Arabidopsis thaliana: one gene and its partners. The protein of the gene in region 3 interacts with the protein of the main gene of each other region in a pairwise test. Each region holds a gene or a part of one and is shown on either strand. Other genes may lie near its edges.

Region 1 (6,793 bases), on a different chromosome or scaffold from region 3:
GAGATCCGCTACTTTGGAGAAAATAGAAGCGGTGGTGTAAGGAGGTTGAGTTTGGAGAGGGTAATATCCCCAATCGGCTCCAAAGAGACCGGCGGTTGGAGAGACGTGTAGAATAATGATGTCGTCTCCCTGACGGATGTAGTTATCAACAGCCCAACGAACAGTGAAGGCACTTTCTTCAGAGAGCTCCACGGCGATTCCAATCTTACGTTGACGAGGAGATGAAGGATGATCGGATTCTGGATTCATCATTTCTTCTTCTTGCTTCCACAAACTTCCGATTTTTTTCTTAGGGTTTTTAAATTATGTGTTATGCAGCATTGCTAATTATGGGATAATGAGGTTTATATTTATGGGTTTTGTGCAAATGTTTCTTTGCTTGTAAAAAATTATACTTTGGTTAATGCGTTTGTTATCCCTTGCATTTTTGTCAGGTTTCCTTAGCTTCTCGACAAGGAAAATGCTACATCGTTTTCTTTTAAAAAAAGCAAAATAGTAGTCTCTGTCTTGCTTGATGAGAAAATAAACAAACAATTTGTCTTTGACATGCACGTTGAAAGTTTTCCTCTAAAAACACGTAAACGTATTTGGGCCTAATTCAGAAAGGCCTAAAATGGGCTGAGAACGAGTATGGGGACGGCGTATATCCGTCTCAAAGAACCATTCAAAGCTGAAACAATCAATCGCGACAAGGTTCACTTCTCCCTCTCCAAAATGGTCCGATGGAAAGCCTCAGAAACCAGGCACGTTACTCACGATTCTCCTCCCTCTCCGTGCGTTTGTTCCACCAATTTGATCGACATCTCTACCTTTTGCTTGATGATCTTTACTTGAACAACTTGAAGAGGGGTTTCAATCTTTTACCTCTCAGTTCCGTTTTATATTTTTTTTCTTCTTTTTATTAACCTCCCAACTCTTTATCTTGTTTTTCTTGACAGTTCTGCGCTCAGACACACCTGACGTTTAAGAATTTTCTTTTAAGACCATGGTTTTGTGGTTTTAGATGTTTTGCTTCTCTGGAAAGTTGGTCTAAGGAATGCACAAACCCTTTTGTGCAACAAATCTTTTTCTTTGTTGTCTACAGTGATGAAAGCTTGAGACTCGCCAATCATAATAATGAAAACATGTTTCTTACTTGAGAGTTGAGACACTCCTTTATCGATTCTTCTTGGGTTGTCTCTTGGGTTAATTATATTACCTACCTCTCTTTACAGCAAATTTACCATGGTTCGAATTCAGAGAAACAAAACATGAAACTAGGCCCTAGAGATCCTATACCTCAAAATCTGATAAGTAAGCGACCAATTATACACACATTGTTCTTGAAAATGGAAGAGAAACTTTCTCATTTGAAGAATCACTAAATTCGCTTCTGGTTTTCACATCCAGAGTCAAGTAGCCCAAAGCCGTACAGAAACATCAGTTAGAAAAGAGATAAGTTGGATTGGATAAGTAGACTCCATTGTAAAAAGATAGGCTCTTAGGAACTCCTGGCTCTGTTCCTGGACGTCCGAAGATGACCTTACCTCAACTTTGTAGGTGAAACGCATCTCTATTCGAGAGCTTGGGCTTTCTCTTTACGGATTGTCCCTGCATAAGGCCAAGCCAGAGCTGGGAATGTATATATGTTTGCTCAACTATAATAAACCTACAATGTAATGGAATGCCTATCTTCAAATGTTATATCAGCTGTCAACTTCTGACAAAACGGATGTGCTTGTTCATCAGCCTAAGTAAGAACAGAGAATGATCGACATGGGAAATGCTGAAGAATGAAACCGATGTGATAGATCATGAGAGTAATATTCCATGTCTATGCAGTGAAACGAAGTTGATCAAACCCCTCTGGATGTTATCATGTTATGATCTAATGTAATGGTATATCAGCTAACATAGCAAATGGAGTTTCGTTAGGATGAATCAATCATGAGAGCAACATTCCGTGTCCATGCAGTGAAACGAAGTTGATGGAAGGCCTCCGGATGTTATCATGTTATGATCTAATGTAATGTTATGTTTTTTCCTAGCTAACGTTTCATTAGGATGAATCGATCAGAATGATGAAAATGAATCCCACAAAGTGATGTATTAAAGCCGCAATAAGATAAACAAATAGCAAACCAAACTCCTATATAATTCAAACAATCATCAAAAACCACACTGCGAATGCATGTAGCAGAGCTAATAGAAACTGAAACATGTTATATGTTGATGAGGTCACACTATATGCACCCAACACATGACAAAGCAATGCTGATGCTTAAAAATGTCGAGAATGGAAATGGATGAAATGCAGACTGCCTGGAAGATGCATCGTATTCGTGCAGTTGTTGGGAGATAAGGAAGAGAGTACGTCCCCCTTCAAGGCCTACTGATATGTCAGGGCTCCTTGGGCTCCATTAGCACTCGGAGAAGGAAAGAAAGAATAGCCGCCACCTTCCTTTCTCTTCCCATATGGATTCTTTGAATATGTATCATTGGGTTAAGAAGAATCAAACAGAAAAGAAAAAAGAACTTGGCATACTGGAATATTAAATAATCAGAAAGAGTAAAAGTATATAAGGATATTGGATCCTCATGCCAATTGAACCAGAACTTGGAATGACAGCACCTTGCAAATTATGGTGAACATTTGTGGCACTATTGACATCCTGCAAGTCCAGATAGAAGAATTTAACAATATGCTAGAAGAATATTTTCTGTCACATATACACAGATGGTGAAGGTCTCAGAGTTAACCTCGAATTCAATAAAGCAAACTGTATGCCTTTCTTGTCTCAGAATCTTCATTTGTTTGAAACCAGGTTGCCTGCAAAATGAAAGTACAGTTTACCGCAGAATTCTTGAGAACACAGGTCTACAAAAAGGCCAAGATCTCAAGGAAAGCAATGGACAGGAGTCTCACTAAAGGGAACAGATACTCACGCACTCAACAGGCTCCTCAATTCTTCTTCGTTTATATTCTCCCCAAGATTACCAATAAATAGGGTATTGCAAGGTGGATTATCCTTAATATTCTGCAATTGAAAAAAATTTGAAAACAACATGAGACATATATCAGATCACCAAACCTAGGCTAGATATTCATCAAACTAGGTACAAAATTTATCAAACAATCAGAAACTTTAGCAAATTCAGAGCAGTAGACAATGCATTTAAATTAGGCAACAACTATTGTTCCACAACACAACCACCAGAGAGTATAGCATGTAAGCTAATTAGAATGAAGTTCGAGATTGTAATTTTTAGGCAAGGAGAGGCAAGTACAATATGGATTCCGGGTATATAATTGCACAACCACCATATGATAAATAAAATGATGAAAACAGTGCAACTTCACCTGGACAGGCACATAAGAACTAGGAGCTGCTATAGGTGGGGGCGTAGGCATTGGTACAGGGGGAGCATGATAACCTGCATAGGGATCATATGGTGGAGGTGCAGGTGCCATATATCTGAACCAATTTATCTTCTTGTCAAATAAGCAACTTAACATAAAACGGTGTACCAAATACACATCGTCCAATTTCTACACAGCATATGAAATATGAAGGAGAAGCAAATGCCTAACCCATGAGGAGGTCCCCACACAGGAGGAGGTGGAGGATGGAAAGGAGATGGACTATACACAGAGTGTGTGCAGTCACCACCAGTTCGTAGGCGCTTACTTTGATCATAAGCATTTGAATCCCCAACAATACCTACAGAATAAAGATTGAGTTCAAAGGTTATATATGGTTTGTGATATTAACAAAGGAAGTAAGAAACTAGATAAAGGGGAGAGTGTAGTGAGACCCCGTATAAATGCACAAAACTGTATCAAACATGCTTCAGTAACATGACTAATGCTTAAGATAGATAAAATACAGCCATTTTATGTCATAAAGGTAGAGCTAACCTCTTTTAACAAAAAGATTCTTCTTGGCCATCTCTGTATGTATCACAGACTTTGACTCAGCATCAAACACCATATGCTGCATGCCAAGAACAACATATGTCATAATGTGAAGACAAAAAAGGATCTGAGTCAACAATGATCAGAAGCAGACAGACCTGAAGGGTATCTTTGGCTGCCATTGCAAACTGAGCTGTGGAGAAAAGAGCAAACCCCATGGGCTTTTCTCCCTTGAAGTTCACCTGAGAAGCCTCGTAACCAGGCAACCATCTCAAGAGATTCAAAAGCTCTCTCTCTTTTACATCATCGGGAAGCCCTGCGATGAAGATTGTCCGCAGCTGAACAACAGATTCAAACTTGTGTAAGAGATCACGTTTTCCCAAAATCAGAAAACTCCAACTACATGACAAGATAAGAGAACCTTTCTCACTTATGCAACAGGTCATAAGTGAGATTTTAGTAACAAACTTAAAAATCATTCTTATCAAAAAGGTCATAACTTTGGACAATTTATCGATTCCGTAGCAAAATCAAGCTAACATTGTATATCAAAAAGCAGGCAAATTAAAACCTCAACGTAAACAAAAATCAAGCAAGCCCATCTCGACAACACAGCACAAGAATCACCGATATGTATAGAGAGAAAGAGAAAGAGTTGAACCTCGTCATAAGGAGGACGATTATGGTTGTCAACTAAAACAGGAGGAGGAGGAGGATGGTGATGAATGGGCGGCGGATGTGGTGGAGCAGCTGATGATACTGCGGCTGGAGGAGGCGGCGCACCTGCCGGCGGCCACTGCTGGTGGTATGGGTGGATTCCGGCGCCGGCCATGAGATAAAAAAAAAACCTAATTACTCAGAGAGTCAGAGATTGATTGTTCGAAAAAACTTCTGCGGAAGAATTGACGGCAAAGAAGGCAAACTTATTTTTTAAGTCACATGCATCGCACGTGAACACTGTACCACTTTAATTTTATTTCTTTCTTTTTCTGTTAAAAACTTTAAAAAGAAAATTAGTTTTTAATTTTTTTAGAATTATAATTACTTTAAGTTTTTCTTTTTTCAATTGTTTTTATTGGAAAGAAACTTTAATCTGTATTTTCTTACTTTCTAAAAATATTAAATACCTAACACCAAATTTATAGTATCTAAATCCACGATCTTAAACACTCTTAATGATATTATAATCCAATTCAGACCCGACCAAACAAAAAACATGGTTAACGTGTAACAACACAGAGCCACACAAGTGCGAGTGTATTCCACGCTCTTTCCATCAACGCGTACCTTCGTCTTACCATTTTAACTTTTTTTTTTTTTCTTGTTTCTTACAATCATTTTCACAAATCTCTTCGATGAAGCTTCATTCTCCTCTTGATTTGATCTCTTTGAAAAACGACGAATCAAACAAACCCTAGAGTCAAGTCAATCATGATGATAAATACAAACCTGGAAGATAAAGAATCAACCTTGTGAAAAAAAAAAAAAACTTTTGATTCCCTCTTCTTCTAAAAGCCATGAAACCGATTCAATCTCCTTCTGGAGTAGCTTCACCTATGAAGAACCGTTTACGCAAACGTCCTGACCTAAGCTTACCACTCCCACACCGCGACGTCGCTCTCGCCGTACCTCTCCCTCTCCCACCTCCTTCTTCCTCTTCATCCGCTCCGGCGTCTTCCTCCGCGATCTCAACCAACATCTCCGCCGCTAAAAGCTTATCCGAGCTAGAACGAGTGAACCGAATCGGAAGCGGAGCCGGAGGAACGGTTTACAAAGTAATCCACACTCCGACGTCACGTCCTTTCGCTCTCAAAGTGATTTACGGAAACCACGAAGATACCGTGAGACGTCAGATCTGTAGAGAGATCGAGATCTTAAGAAGTGTTGATCATCCAAACGTTGTGAAATGTCACGATATGTTTGATCATAACGGTGAGATCCAGGTTTTGCTTGAGTTTATGGATCAAGGATCTCTTGAAGGAGCTCATATATGGCAAGAACAGGAATTAGCTGATCTCTCTCGTCAGATTCTTAGTGGATTAGCTTATCTTCATCGTCGTCATATCGTTCATCGTGATATCAAACCTTCGAATCTTCTTATAAACTCAGCTAAAAATGTGAAAATTGCTGATTTTGGTGTGAGTAGGATCTTGGCACAAACAATGGATCCTTGTAATTCATCTGTTGGTACTATTGCTTATATGAGTCCTGAGAGGATTAATACTGATTTGAATCATGGTCGTTACGATGGTTATGCTGGAGATGTTTGGAGTTTAGGTGTTAGTATCTTGGAGTTTTACTTGGGGAGGTTTCCTTTTGCTGTGAGTAGACAAGGTGATTGGGCTAGTCTTATGTGTGCTATTTGTATGTCTCAGCCACCTGAAGCTCCGGCTACGGCGTCTCAGGAGTTTCGTCACTTTGTTTCTTGTTGTTTACAGAGTGATCCTCCTAAGAGATGGTCAGCTCAACAGCTTTTGCAGCATCCTTTCATACTTAAAGCTACCGGTGGTCCTAATCTCCGTCAAATGTTGCCGCCGCCTCGTCCTCTTCCTTCTGCCTCTTAGTGTTTCTACCATTTTCGTCTTTCTTGTTTTTCAATTTTTCGTAGTTTTTCCTGACATTTTTCCATAAGTTTTGCATACCCCAAGCAAAGATAATGAGAAGAGTAGAAGAACAATGTGGTTTGTGATTGGGGTATGAGTCGTCAGGAAGAAACTCAGTTTGTGGTTAGGGTTTATTGAGTCTTTATCTTATGCTGCTAAGCTTGATTTGTCTTATGGGTAATGAAGAATGTTTTGCTAGAAATGGAAACAAAAAAATAGACAAGAAGAATTCTTATGGTTTAAGAGTGATTTTAGCTGGATTTGCTTATATTATTGTTTATATAAGGAAGTAAAT
Region 2 (5,844 bases), on a different chromosome or scaffold from region 3:
CTTAAAAACGCAGCAAATGCCAAGGTCTCTTCCACAGTAAGTTGTGGCAACAGAACATCGTCTTGCGTCACAAAGCCAATTCTGGAAAACAGGGAAAGATCAGCACATAATAGTATGATTCAGGTAGGAGAAAATATCCAACTCACCTCCTCTTAACAGATGGACTGTAAGGAATGTCATTATAGGTAAGCTTCCCCTTGACATTATCTGTCAATCTTCCTCCCATTATCTTCAGAAGAGTTGTTTTGCCACTACCCGAAGGCCCCATTAGCGCAAGGATTTCGCCAGGACCTGTGCTTCCTGTTATGCCTTTCAAAATGTGCTTGTATCCATCTGGATCCGGATTTGTATGTGTTACCACCTTTGACACCATTGTTTTCACCAGGTTTGCTGAGCTAGCATGACTGTTTCTCACCTTATACTCCACATCTTCAAACTGCATATAAATAAAAGAGGCGAAACCAATAAGCTTTGTCTTAATGAAGGAAAATCGAAAGCAAAAGAGAAAGTTGAACCTTGAGAAAGATGGGAAGAGGGGCATCTTCGAGAGGATAAGTGGAAACGAACTCTTCATCAATGTCAATCTCGGATGAGTATTGGTTTCTGAGGTAAGCTTGTGGCATGAACTCCATGTTGTGAACTATGCCATTGCTTCCTGTAATCTGCATTACATGATTCTCTTCAACTTCTTCTGTTGATCTTCTGATCTCCATGTTATCTTTCTTATTCTTGTTCCACAAGAAAATTGTTATGAATGTAGGCTTGTGTTATATAACGGAAGAAGTGTGTGGATCAACTGTGTCAAACCTGAAACTTTCTTGCTTTTTGTGTTCTCTTTTTCTCTCTGTTTATCAGGGTGTTAGTTTGGTAGACCACATTCTTTCAATGTTTTTGTATTAAATTGAATGCATTTGTTGACTTGAACAAGGAGCAAATGAAACTATATTAATTTCAATATACTTTATATGGTACTAAAATCATTTACATTTATCGACTTGGCTTGCTCATTGACGATCACAACGTACGAGAATAAATGTCCACTTGCTCATATAAACTGATCACTTGATTATATTGTAAGATTCGGAAGAATTACAGATAAACGAGATCAAAGCGGTTTGTGGCACTCACAAAAATTGAAAAAACAAAAGGCACCAATTCTCTTGTCCCCTTGCCAAATACTAATCTTCTTCTTGGGGGGTGATGTATCCTAAGTATGTACACAAAATCACTCAAAATTCCAGACTTAAACATCTCGTACCAATCTGAATATGCATCTTTCTAGTAATACTCCTTGACCTAGTAGTTGTTTCCCAGATTTGTTCGTGCAGCTTGAGGTTGCTGATTAGTTACGTGCGATGGTCCTATGGGTTCAGTCCTCGCAGATATAGATAGAGGCGCCAGTATTGGCTGTGTTTGTTGATATAACCCACGGATCCCAGCCTGCATGGTTGGGAAAGCTATAGGCTGACCTTGAAGGGATAAGTTGTACATGGGACTGGCCTGCAGATTGGCTAGACTCTGCTACATGGAGCCGTGTTAAAAAACTATAGCATAACATGCAATGACAGTGGGGAGAGTCAGAGAAAAACTAACCAGTGGTCCAGTTGTGTACATGTTTTCCTTCTTTTCTTCCTTGTGAGTAGCATTTATGGTGGCTGCTGATGGGATGTGGTTGAAGGCGTATGAAGTATATGAGAATGGAATCGTGGTAGGTGGAGAGTTTCCAATGTCGCTTCCGGGTTTGATGTGAGTGAGAGGTAGTTCAGCCCCTGGAGGTGCTGGAGCATCATCTCCGGGTGGTAAGTAAGACTGTTGTTGGAACCCATTTGGGCTCAAGTACTGGTGAATGTATGGTTGCGGCATATAATAAGGGGGGAAATATGGACCATAAGGGAAATAGTTAAGAGAGTATTGTTGCCTATAAAGGTGCATTGCCTGTTGAGCGGCTGCTAAGGAATACTGATCAGGATAGGAGATAGGTGGAGCATCACACTTTGCAGCCTGCAATTATCAACAAAATATAAAAGACAGTGATTAAGCATTGTGTTCATATTTCCTGGCTAGAAAAACCACGCGGTTGGCCTGATGCTGACAATGAATGCACAAGACTAAAAAGACATTGTGTGGGGCTTCTTGATAATAACCAACCTGATGAGTGTCTGTGATTGGTAAAACCTCGTTCTTTACTTTATCTCCTTCTGAACCTTCTTCAGGGAGAACAGTTTGATCTGGCTGCAATGTTAACTCGTTCTGAGCTGCTGAATTTGAAATCTCATGATTCTTATCCTGAGAAAAAGTTGATATATCTTTCCTGCAAACCAAGTTTCATATAAAGGTATTCATATCAGAAACTCATTCATCTGAGACTCTAGATCAATTCATGAGAATATTGAAGCAAGTAACACTGTAAGATTTACTCAAAGTAGCTATTAGTCACCAACCTAGCTGATGCGGCTGTCCCATGAGAAGACTCAATATTGGAGTCATCACACCCAATAGTAAACTTGTCAGAAGATGCCTCTCTCACAAAATTAGAATCGAAGCTCCCAAATGTCAGACCATTTTCCAGCATTTTGGCAACCTGAATGTGGACAGGAAATGTTACGTGCGGCCGTTCACCAACATCCGACTTGAGAAGCGACTCATTCTTGCATTTACTGGCTGCAACCTCACTCTTAATGACTGTTCCAAATAAAGCCATACGTCGAATCACATAAGAGGCTGTAATCAAACTCAGGAACAACTTAACAGAATACAGAATGCACTTAAAGCAACATTAGCAGGCAAGTAATTATATGGTATAATTTATACCTCGCTCGGACTGTTGTGGGATCTGAAAAGTTTCAACTACAGCATATTGAGTATCGTTTTCTACAACAGAATCTGATACAGCCACTGATACACTACTTTCTTTAGACTTATCCGGCTCAACAACATCCTTAGAAGAAGAAGTAGCCTTGGAGAGAGGCTGTTCCTCTGTGTCCACCTTGTCCACAGGGGATATGATAGCATCTTGAATTTTCTGGTTACTGATTCCACTTGGAAGACTTATAGGGTTCGGGGCCCTGAAAAAGAATAGAATGCGTTAGGAAGCCCATATCCAAAGAGGGAATTAAAGACATAGACAGAATTAAAAGTATGGATACATTATGGAAGAAGGTTTTGTGTCGTTTCTTGCATTGTTAGGAGCAGACGAAGCAGTTCCAGAACCTCCTATTATGTGATTAGCTCCACTCTGCTTTTTAAAAGCTGCACTTCTTCCATTACTGGCATCTGAATCAACAAAGAGCTTGAATCAAGGAAGGAAATATAGAACACAAGTTTAGAAGTAAAAGAACATAAACCACAATGACCTGTGTAACTTGAAGCAAAGTTCTTCCGTCCAGTCCGGCCCCTTCCTTGTGTATTTGGCACTAAATTCTACAACAGGTAATACACATAAAGGCATAAGAGAAACGAGATGATGTAAGCTAAACAGAGAACTCAAGACCACACTTAAAATGCAAAGTAAGGATTCAAAAGAACATAGGAAAGCTACCTCTTTCTTTCTCTCCCGTTTGCTTCTCACCTCATGAAATGTATCTGAAAGATCAGTAATAATATATGAGTACATGTCTGCTATCAAAGTACATGATTATGTTGATCTTGAAACAGTAGACAGAATCAAAACTTAACCCAGATGCCCAATCTCAATCAAAGCTAAACAGAAATTCCCTTTCCACATTCCAGCTAGATTGGTAAAGATTTAAAACGACAGTTTCTTAGTCATGAACCCAAATTCTACATATTCCATTTCAGTAAAAAAGATTCCTTATTTGAACATCCCCAGACATATTATACCAATTAGAAATCTAAATAAACAAAACATAAGATTCTAAGCATAACACACAGATTCTAAGACAAGACCAAAATCGACAAAGGGCATTAAATAGCAAAATCCAAAACAAAACCCTAGGAGAAGCACACGCTCAATACAACAAAAAGGAAGTAAAAACACTAAAACAAAAACAAATGCTGAAGCTTTCTCAGTAAAACAACCTAAATAGAGAAGCTTCTGAGTGGTCTCATGTGGATCACTGAAACACTCCTTAAAGACAGAGAAGATATCCTCGTCGGAATGTTGTTTACCGGTAACCTCTCTGATGTTTTGAATGGTTTGAAGCAGATCAGCCGGAATAGAAACCCTAGAGCCGCCATCGCCGCTGATCCTGCTCATGTTGGTTACAGAGAGAAAGAGAAGCGGAGGGAGGAGGAGAGAGGAAATATGGGTTGAACATAAAGACTTCGTATATAGTACTATTATTTATTTCCGTACAATCTACCGCTTAATGTCTCTCTCTACGTATATTTATACGCTGACGTCACTGTTTATCAATTTCCTCCTCATTATTTGATTGAGTACTATTATTTATTTCCGTACAATCTACCGCTTAATGTCTCTCTCTACGTATATTTATACGCTGACGTCACTGTTTATCGATTTCCTCCTCATTATTTGATTGTTTTGTACGCGTTTAATGGAAGGAGAGACAACAAAGTTGATATGGCCGAGTTGGTCTAAGGCGCCAGATTAAGGTTCTGGTCCGAAAGGGCGTGGGTTCAAATCCCACTGTCAACAATTTACTTTTTTTTTTTTTGTCTTTTTACAAGAATAGGAAAAATAGACAGCTGTGTAAAAAAATATTAACTTTGTTTTGTTTCCACAAGTCGATGTCCAAATTTAAGAATATATATATATTACACGATTTAGCTATCTCCTCTAATTAGATGAAGAGACATCAGATCTTATCAAAACCCTAGCTTTCGGTGTCTCTCTCGATCCTTTAGCTCAATCGAAAACTGAATTTAGGAGCTGCGATGGGTTCCAGATCTCGTAATGATAATTTCCAGTCCGGCGATGGCGCTAGTCCTGGGTACGTTTACTTCTCCTACCTCTTGCATGTTTGATTCCACAGGATTAAGGGAAATATCTCATAATCTGTTGGCTTTGTAACTCTTTTTATATTGTTGGTTAAGGTTTAATTTATGTTTTGCTTGGAATTTTTGTGTTGCAGGAAAATATTCATTGGAGGATTGCACAAAGACACGACTAATAGTAAGTTTCTTCCTCTTGTTTTGTTCTAGAAATTGCGTTTCTAAGTTTTGTTATGTTATGGATTCTTGTGTGTGTTTCTGATGTTAGACCTGTTGGAATGTTGATTCTACTTGCTCACTTTGGTTTTGATTGCAGCTGTGTTCAATAAGCACTTTGGCAAGTACGGGGAGATTACAGATTCTGTCATTATGCGAGATCGACATACTGGACAACCTAGGGGTTTCGGTTTCATCACCTTCGCTGACCCTTCTGTTGTTGACAAAGTTATCGAAGATACTCATGTCATCAATGGCAAACAGGTCGGCCACTTCTCTTTTCTTCCTTCACTAGCTTATAGTGTTCATTTTTAGTAGGGTGTTGGGTCTTGATCAATACTTTTTTCCTTGTTTTGATGGAACAGGTTGAGATCAAAAGGACTATTCCGAAAGGTGCTGGTGGCAATCAGTCAAAGGACATCAAAACAAAGAAGATTTTCGTTGGTGGTATACCCTCAACGGTTACAGAAGGTAGACCTCCCTCTTGGCATGATATTTTTTTGCTTTCCATGAGAATGCTGGTTTCCTGTCCTTATTGAAGTTGGTTTCTTTTTCTGTTGATCAGATGAACTTAAGGACTTCTTTGCCAAGTATGGGAACGTGGTGGAGCACCAGGTTATTCGAGACCATGAAACAAACAGGTCCAGAGGTTTTGGTTTTGTAATTTTTGATAGCGAAGAAGTCGTAGATGAATTATTGTCCAAAGGAAACATG
Region 3 (6,471 bases):
TCTAATTTTCATAATGACTAGATTTCTTTCCGAAAAATCAATCTATTTTATTAATTAAAAATGTATGTTCATTGTAATTTATTTAAGAATACGACCTCCCATTTATAAGAAATATATTTACTGCCAAAAGAAGAAGAATATAATATACAGTCATTTATATAAAATATAATTGTGGACCTTTTAGTTAATTATACCAAATAAGAGATAATAATTATATTAATTATCAATTAATGAGTTGTGGACCCTTTGTTGATTTTTAAAAGTAATTAAAATATATTAGGACTATTTTAATTTTAAAATGAAATGTGGACCTATAATTTTAATTACCAAATGATAACATGTGAGCTGTATATTGAGATTTAATATAAAAACTTAAATTTAAAGTCTTAGAACATTTTGATTTCTTTATATATTTTGATCTTTACTCTACTAAAAAAAAAAGGATACGAAAATAAAATGTTTGAATTGTCAACAACTCAACATTACTTGATTCATTTTAATCAATTCATCTATAATATTGCAACATTTTTGTATATATGCAGTTTCTTAATAGTCAAGAATATATTACATCGTTGACTCTGTTTTATCCATCAGGGAGCAGAAGCACAACAATACTGTTAGAGAGAAAACAAGGAGAGAAAAATCCTCCAATTTTCTGGAAAAAAACTACAATCAAACATTCTTAAAGAAGTCTTCAAGAACGGGACTTTTAAGAATGAACAAGATTAATAAATGAAATTATAATGGTTAATAATCATAACATTTATACATGAACTTTTCAATGATAGACATAAGTCACAAATTGACAAAGTTTAGAAAAGAGAAAAATAGAAGAAGAGTGAGTGGAAGAGAATCCTTTTGCATGAAGATACAGCTTTTCTGAGTGATTGAGAATTTCTGACCCACATGATCAGACTTGGCAAATGTTAGTTAATTACGGCCATCAACTTTTTGTTCTCCAGTTCCATCAAGATCCATCTTAGTGTCTCAACCGGATTTGCCGTTAACCGCACAGCGAACTCTTAATGATGAAGAGATGTCAGTGGTTTTTACGAGTTTAATAAACCGTTAAATAACGGGTTTTTACTCTGTTGTTGTTGCTGCTGTTGACCGTTGTCTCTCTTAAGCTGGACTTTCAATTTCTTACCGCTTAATTGGCAACCGTTCATTGTGTTAATAGCGTTCTGAGCAGCTGCCTGTGAGTCATAACTAATGAATCCTGCGTGCAGCAACAAAAGGGTTGCGTAACGGTTAATTCGAGTCTAGGGGAAAGAATGAAGATGATAGAGGAAGAAAGCAAGAGCTTACCGAAACATTTGCTTATACCAGTGGCCTTGTCTACAAACACCTTGGCGCTTAGAACCTTACCAAAAGGTTGAAACGTAGCCGCGAGTTCTTGATCCTCGAATTCCCGAGGTATGTTATAAATAAATAGATTCGCACCTGCTGGTCCTGAGAACATCAAAGAAATTGCTTTAAATATCAGTAACATAACGACTAGAAACTTATCAAAATCTTATTTGTTCTTGTTTTGGACTAACTAAACCTTCTGTTTGAAGCGAGGAAGGTATCGATGTGCCGTTATTAGAAATTCCAGGTGAAACTGTGGTTAGAGGAAGGCGAGGAGGTATCATCCCTCTAGGAAATGCCATAGGATATTGAAGACCATGGTAACCGTAATTTCCAAGAGCCGTTGGGAAGTTTCTGCGGGGGGCCAAACGTGGTGGGACAGACTCTGTCAAAGCGGTTCCCTGCAATGCCCTGCCGTTACCTTGGTTAGGTGAAATCACATTGTGAAATGCATGTTGAGTCTGGATAGGTGGTAGCATGTAGCCATAAGTTCCAGGCACCTGTTATAGAGAAAAGTTTTAAGGATCAAATAAAAAAAGTCTTGCAACCAAAATACACCAATCTCTACAGCTTTTTCAAACCTCATGAGTCCAAAAAGTTCAATCCAAGTAGATGAGAAAACAAGAACTTACATGATAGCCATATCCATTGTAAGGAGGAACATAACTCATAGGTAATGCTCCAAACATGGAGGGGTTTTGCGGATCGAGTCTGGAGACATGAGATTGAACTTTTAGAAGTCTTCGAGCTTGTCTTTCCTTTTCTGTGTCTGCCCATTTAACAATCAAAGGAACATTTGCTCCCTAAAAGAAGAAAAAAAGAATGTGATATTGTCACACTCTCCATACAAGTCTTTATAAAATAACAAGAATGTTCGAGAGAAGTATATGTAATAAGCACATACCTCCATTATATGTCTTCCGTTGAGGGCTTCCATAGCTGCGACCGCTTGTTCTTTAGACTCGTACTTTAGAAACAGACAGCCTAAAATAATCCAAATGAACCAAATAATTAAAGTCAGTCAGAACTCTGGTATAGAGTGCTTGCTATAGATGCATAAGCAAGTGGAGATACATACCTTTGCTAGTTTGTAGAGACCCTCTTAGAATCTGTAGATCCTTAATGGTTCCGTATTCAGAGAATAAGGACTGGACTTCAGTTTCAGAGACATTCTTTGGAAGCATACCGACGAAAAGTTTGTGCTCTGGATTGCACGAACAGTCAAGAACATCTATCAAATTGATTGGTATCAAAAATTAAAAAATGCGACCAAACTCTGGAAAGAAAGAAAAAAAGAACTCTTTTGGTGCTTAGACTTCATCACTCAGAAGCATTTTGCGTACCTAGTCTTTCCAACTCGCCATCTGCATACTTAACTTGCAACGGACTAGATGCCTGAAACATATCATAAGAAAGTGAATTCTATAATTCGAGAGAGGGATAAGAGTGTACATAGCCCATAAGCATCCTAATGTTCAGATACCGGCCACAGAAAAATCGAAAGAAGCAAGGATATATATATACACCAAATTTTTGTTAAAGATCGCTCAACAAAAAGTCAACACAATGAAGCAAAAGTTTTCTCTTGGTATTTGGGTTCCTATAATCTCATTCCTAGAGATGTTCTAGCTTTTTGCATCTTGCACGTTTTAGTGACCACTGACATACATCTATAGTGGACCAATGTGGTTTCTTGGGTTTGAAGAAATCAGCTAGAGAGGATTTGAAACGAACTAGTATCATCAGATTACAATAACTGATAGGGCAGATTCTGATCAGCCAAATCAGATTCATGATTTCACCTCGATGGATATATGATATATATAACCAAGCAACAACATGCAAAATTAACAGGGACAATAATCAAGTACAATGCAGATCGAGACGGATAAAAAGAAGAAAAATCAATCTGAGATTTTAATCAGTAGCTTGAAAAAATGTCACCTTAAGTAGTTTTGATGTACACAGAAACATCAGATTCAAATATCAGAAAATCCCAGAAAATTAAGCAAAACAGCTTCAAGAATGGTAACAAGAAAGAAGACTTACCCCAGGCAATGTCTTCTTGTTATGAAAACTATTGATCACCTTGTCAGCATCTTCCCTTGTAGGACATGTCAGAAAACAACATCCTACAATTCCACAAGAAATTAGGGTTTTCACAATTCAAAAATAAAATAAAAGCAACGAAGAAATCACGCGCAATAAAAAAGAACAAAAAAAAAAAAAAACAGGGGAACTTCCAAATTAAAGAAAGAAAAAAACAGAGTTCAAATTAAACGAATGAAACGGAGAAAATTAGGGTTTTCAGAATCCAAAATCAGACGAATCGAAAAACCATCTACAAGTATCCTCGAAACAGAGAAAAACTTCTAAGAAAAAAAACAAAAAGATATCAAAAGTAACGTTCTTTGGGAGAAAACAGAGGAATTTTTTTATTAAAAAAAAACCTCGAGGAGCTCGTGTTGTCTTCTCTTTAATGATGTTGACTTCATTGACGATGGAGAATTCTCGAAACAATGTGAGGAGCTGAATCTCCGTCATGTGCTTCGGAACTTGTCCGACGAACAGCTTCACCCTCTCTTCGTTCTCCATCGTCTCCTCCGCCATTATTTCTTTCTCTCGACTTCGTCGTCTTCTTCTTCTTCTTCTTCTTCTTCTCTCTCTACAGGCTTTTTCTTCCTGAATATTTATTTATTTACTTTCTTTTTTTTGGAAAAAATAATAATAATAAGAAAAAAAAATGAGAGAACTACTAACTAATGGGTGACAAAGTGGTTAAATTAAAATACGGACTAAATCTGGGCTCGTCGTTATTACTAAATTTACGATATTGCCATTAAAACAGCTGTTCAATTAAACAAGAAGGCGAGCCTGTGGGATGCCAGGGGAACACTTTCGGATTGTTTTGTCTGATTATGGATGTGTTGTCATGCCGAATTTACCATTTTATCCGCGTTTTTGTTTTAATATGGAGTGTGTGAATAAGCTGACTATTTTTTTTGTTATGTTTAAATTAAATAGCTGTCATTTCTTCAGTCTTCTGCATTAAAACTCAAAATGTTAGTTTATGTTTAGTTTTTTTTTGGATTTTTATTGTCGTTTGGTTTAAAGAAAAGTGAGTATTTTGTTTATGTTGGATATCGTTTGTTAAAGTTAGTCTACCTTTATTCTAATATTTTTTTTTATCAATTCCTCCTTATAATGGATATGATCATCTGACGTTAAAGTAGTGATAGATATATGTCCTAATATTTTTATCACTAAAATTTTTATATATTTAATTCTTTATTAATAATAAAAAGTGTAGGTTTGTTTAAAGGTCCAAATCAAACATACACAGTTACAAACACAAAAAGAAAAACCTTTTTTTTCTTTTGAGCAGTTGAAATTTGAGTATTTGACAATACACATGGACACGGCTATAAATTTCCATATTAATTATTTTATATAATATATATATTTTAGCTTTAGACAATAATATATTACACCATTGAAAAGAGGGTTTGGACATTTCAATCTAGCCAAACCAACTCCAAATGCAAACTGTCATTTTTAACTTAAATTGAATATAAACATTTTTATCGTTTTCGCACCATACAACTAAATTAAAATCAATCCAATCCTATTTGTAACAAGTGATGAAGTGAATAATAATATGTGTTATATTAATGTAACATATTATTTATTTTTGGAACGGAGAATCCAATGACCAATTCTAGATTTGTAAAAAAAAAAATTAAAAGTAAGTAAATCGAGAAATAGTTATAGAAATAAATACGACTATACTAGTTGACCGTAGAATTTATATCCATACACGAGAGGTCATTTTCATTTTTCAGTGACAACGAGTAGAGGACACTGAAATAAGGGTAGAGTGTCGTAAATATAAGGAAATACTAGTGGCAAAAACATAAATATGACAGACTGTCCTTGCCATTCGGAAATAAATAACCACATCAGCTCCGATTCTTACATCAAATTTCACAAAGAAGGCCGCTGACTTTATTTAGTTTACGTTTTGACCCCACTTGTTTTCTGGTTTTTGTGCATGTTTGTGTGAATTAGTCATTGATAAACGATAATAGTGTAGTAGTAATTAAGAAGAAAAAACCACTCGGCCGCTTAATTTAGCATGAAAACGTATTAAAAGAATCTCCACTGTTACTCTGTGAGTAAATGATAATATTTCTATTGCATTTCATGAAAGAAGTCAATGAAAAAGTTTGACATATCAATCAAGTATTCATTAGTCTACTAAAATATGTATACGTTGTTAGATTAATCTATATCCAATCTGTAGATAGTAGATAACGTGCTTATGTAAAAACAAAGTTAGATTCTACATCTCACCAGTCTCTGGCATTTCAAATTTGCAGATCTTTGGGAAATTTACTTATCCTCATAGTGAGACCCAAAAGTCTTCAGACTTATGATCATATAAAAGAATATCATTCGACAAAACCACAATCATATAGAAGAACATTATGAAAATCTAAAATAATGGTCAAACCTTTTAAACAACAACTTCTTATCACCATTTATTACACACATAAAGTAAAAGAAAACAAACTTACAGATATTAAAGAACAAAACAATTGATTTCAAAAGAAAGACAATTATATTTAAACAAGAAACGAACAATAGAAAATGTAACAAACATCCATGGACTTAGGTATAACTACAATCCTATGATATACCTTACGCTAACTAGTTGAGAGTATACCCTACCTATCACAGAGTACAAAGATATTTAGAGAAAGTTCCTCAGTTTCTGTTCTTGATCACTCGGACCTCTCTGTCTCCTCTAAAGAGTCATGAGCTCTTTGGAAGTAGAATCTGTGTTTGGGAGAGCCCAATTGCCAAAGCCTTTCCCCCATAACCCTTCAAGCTTAATCTTCTTAAACTCAAATGGCTTCCACATCTGTTGCTTCCTCTGAGAATCACCACCTTCCTTATTACGCCTTGCAACAACAGTATTGGTAACACGTTTCTTAAGCTCTGAGTTCTCTTCTTTAAGCATTTGTATTGCTACACTCATTTGCCTTATAGCTTCTCTCTTCTCTTCATCTTTCTCTCTCACCATTTCACTGTAAACCTTATTCTCCTCTCTCAGCCTCT

Evidence for each region.
Region 1: the proteins of AT1G03457 (region 3) and AT3G21215 interact in a two-hybrid assay, tested with the Arabidopsis thaliana proteins (one large-scale study listed by BioGRID).
Region 2: the proteins of AT1G03457 (region 3) and GIP1 interact in a two-hybrid assay, tested with the Arabidopsis thaliana proteins (one large-scale study listed by BioGRID).

What each region holds. Positions count from the first base shown.
Region 1 is NC_003074.8:7,440,505-7,447,297, forward strand, and holds AT3G21215 (RNA-binding (RRM/RBD/RNP motifs) family protein), read right to left. Parts: upstream 4,809-6,793; 5' UTR 4,728-4,808; coding exon 4,557-4,727; intron 4,234-4,556; coding exon 4,054-4,233; intron 3,975-4,053; coding exon 3,899-3,974; intron 3,702-3,898; coding exon 3,572-3,701; intron 3,456-3,571; coding exon 3,341-3,455; intron 3,018-3,340; coding exon 2,926-3,017; intron 2,810-2,925; coding exon 2,740-2,809; intron 2,652-2,739; coding exon 2,569-2,651; coding exon of another isoform or gene 2,532-2,568; exon of another isoform or gene 2,472-2,531; coding exon 2,369-2,471; 3' UTR 947-2,368; downstream 1-946. Other genes in the region: AT3G21210 (zinc ion binding protein), read right to left, coding at 1-252; MKK5 (MAP kinase kinase 5), read left to right, coding at 5,413-6,459.
Region 2 is NC_003074.8:4,249,991-4,255,834, forward strand, and holds GIP1 (GBF-interacting protein 1), read right to left. Parts: upstream 4,289-5,844; 5' UTR 4,217-4,288; coding exon 4,039-4,216; intron 3,583-4,038; coding exon 3,539-3,582; intron 3,421-3,538; coding exon 3,354-3,420; intron 3,274-3,353; coding exon 3,147-3,273; intron 3,066-3,146; coding exon 2,812-3,065; intron 2,683-2,811; coding exon 2,442-2,682; intron 2,312-2,441; coding exon 2,149-2,311; intron 2,002-2,148; coding exon 1,594-2,001; intron 1,519-1,593; coding exon 1,297-1,518; 3' UTR 968-1,296; downstream 1-967. Other genes in the region: ABCG26 (ABC-2 type transporter family protein), read right to left, coding at 1-81, 147-436, 516-713; AT3G13224 (RNA-binding (RRM/RBD/RNP motifs) family protein), read left to right, coding at 4,858-4,913, 5,055-5,095, 5,231-5,394, 5,496-5,601, 5,696-5,844. UniProt on the Arabidopsis thaliana protein: Plant specific protein that enhances G-box-binding factor (GBF) DNA binding activity. May function as a nuclear chaperone or lever and regulate the multimeric state of GBFs. May contribute to bZIP-mediated gene regulation.
Region 3 is NC_003070.9:860,060-866,530, forward strand, and holds AT1G03457 (RNA-binding (RRM/RBD/RNP motifs) family protein), read right to left. Parts: upstream 4,314-6,471; 5' UTR 3,961-4,313; coding exon 3,801-3,960; intron 3,554-3,800; exon of another isoform or gene 3,483-3,553; coding exon 3,400-3,482; intron 2,746-3,399; coding exon 2,694-2,745; intron 2,582-2,693; coding exon 2,429-2,581; intron 2,335-2,428; coding exon 2,255-2,334; intron 2,154-2,254; coding exon 1,983-2,153; intron 1,851-1,982; coding exon 1,547-1,850; intron 1,453-1,546; coding exon 1,309-1,452; intron 1,220-1,308; coding exon 1,050-1,219; 3' UTR 703-1,049; downstream 1-702. Other genes in the region: NET3A (Kinase interacting (KIP1-like) family protein), read right to left, coding at 6,158-6,471. UniProt on the Arabidopsis thaliana protein: RNA-binding protein involved in the regulation of flowering time. Acts as a repressor of the activity of SOC1, a transcriptional activator of flowering time.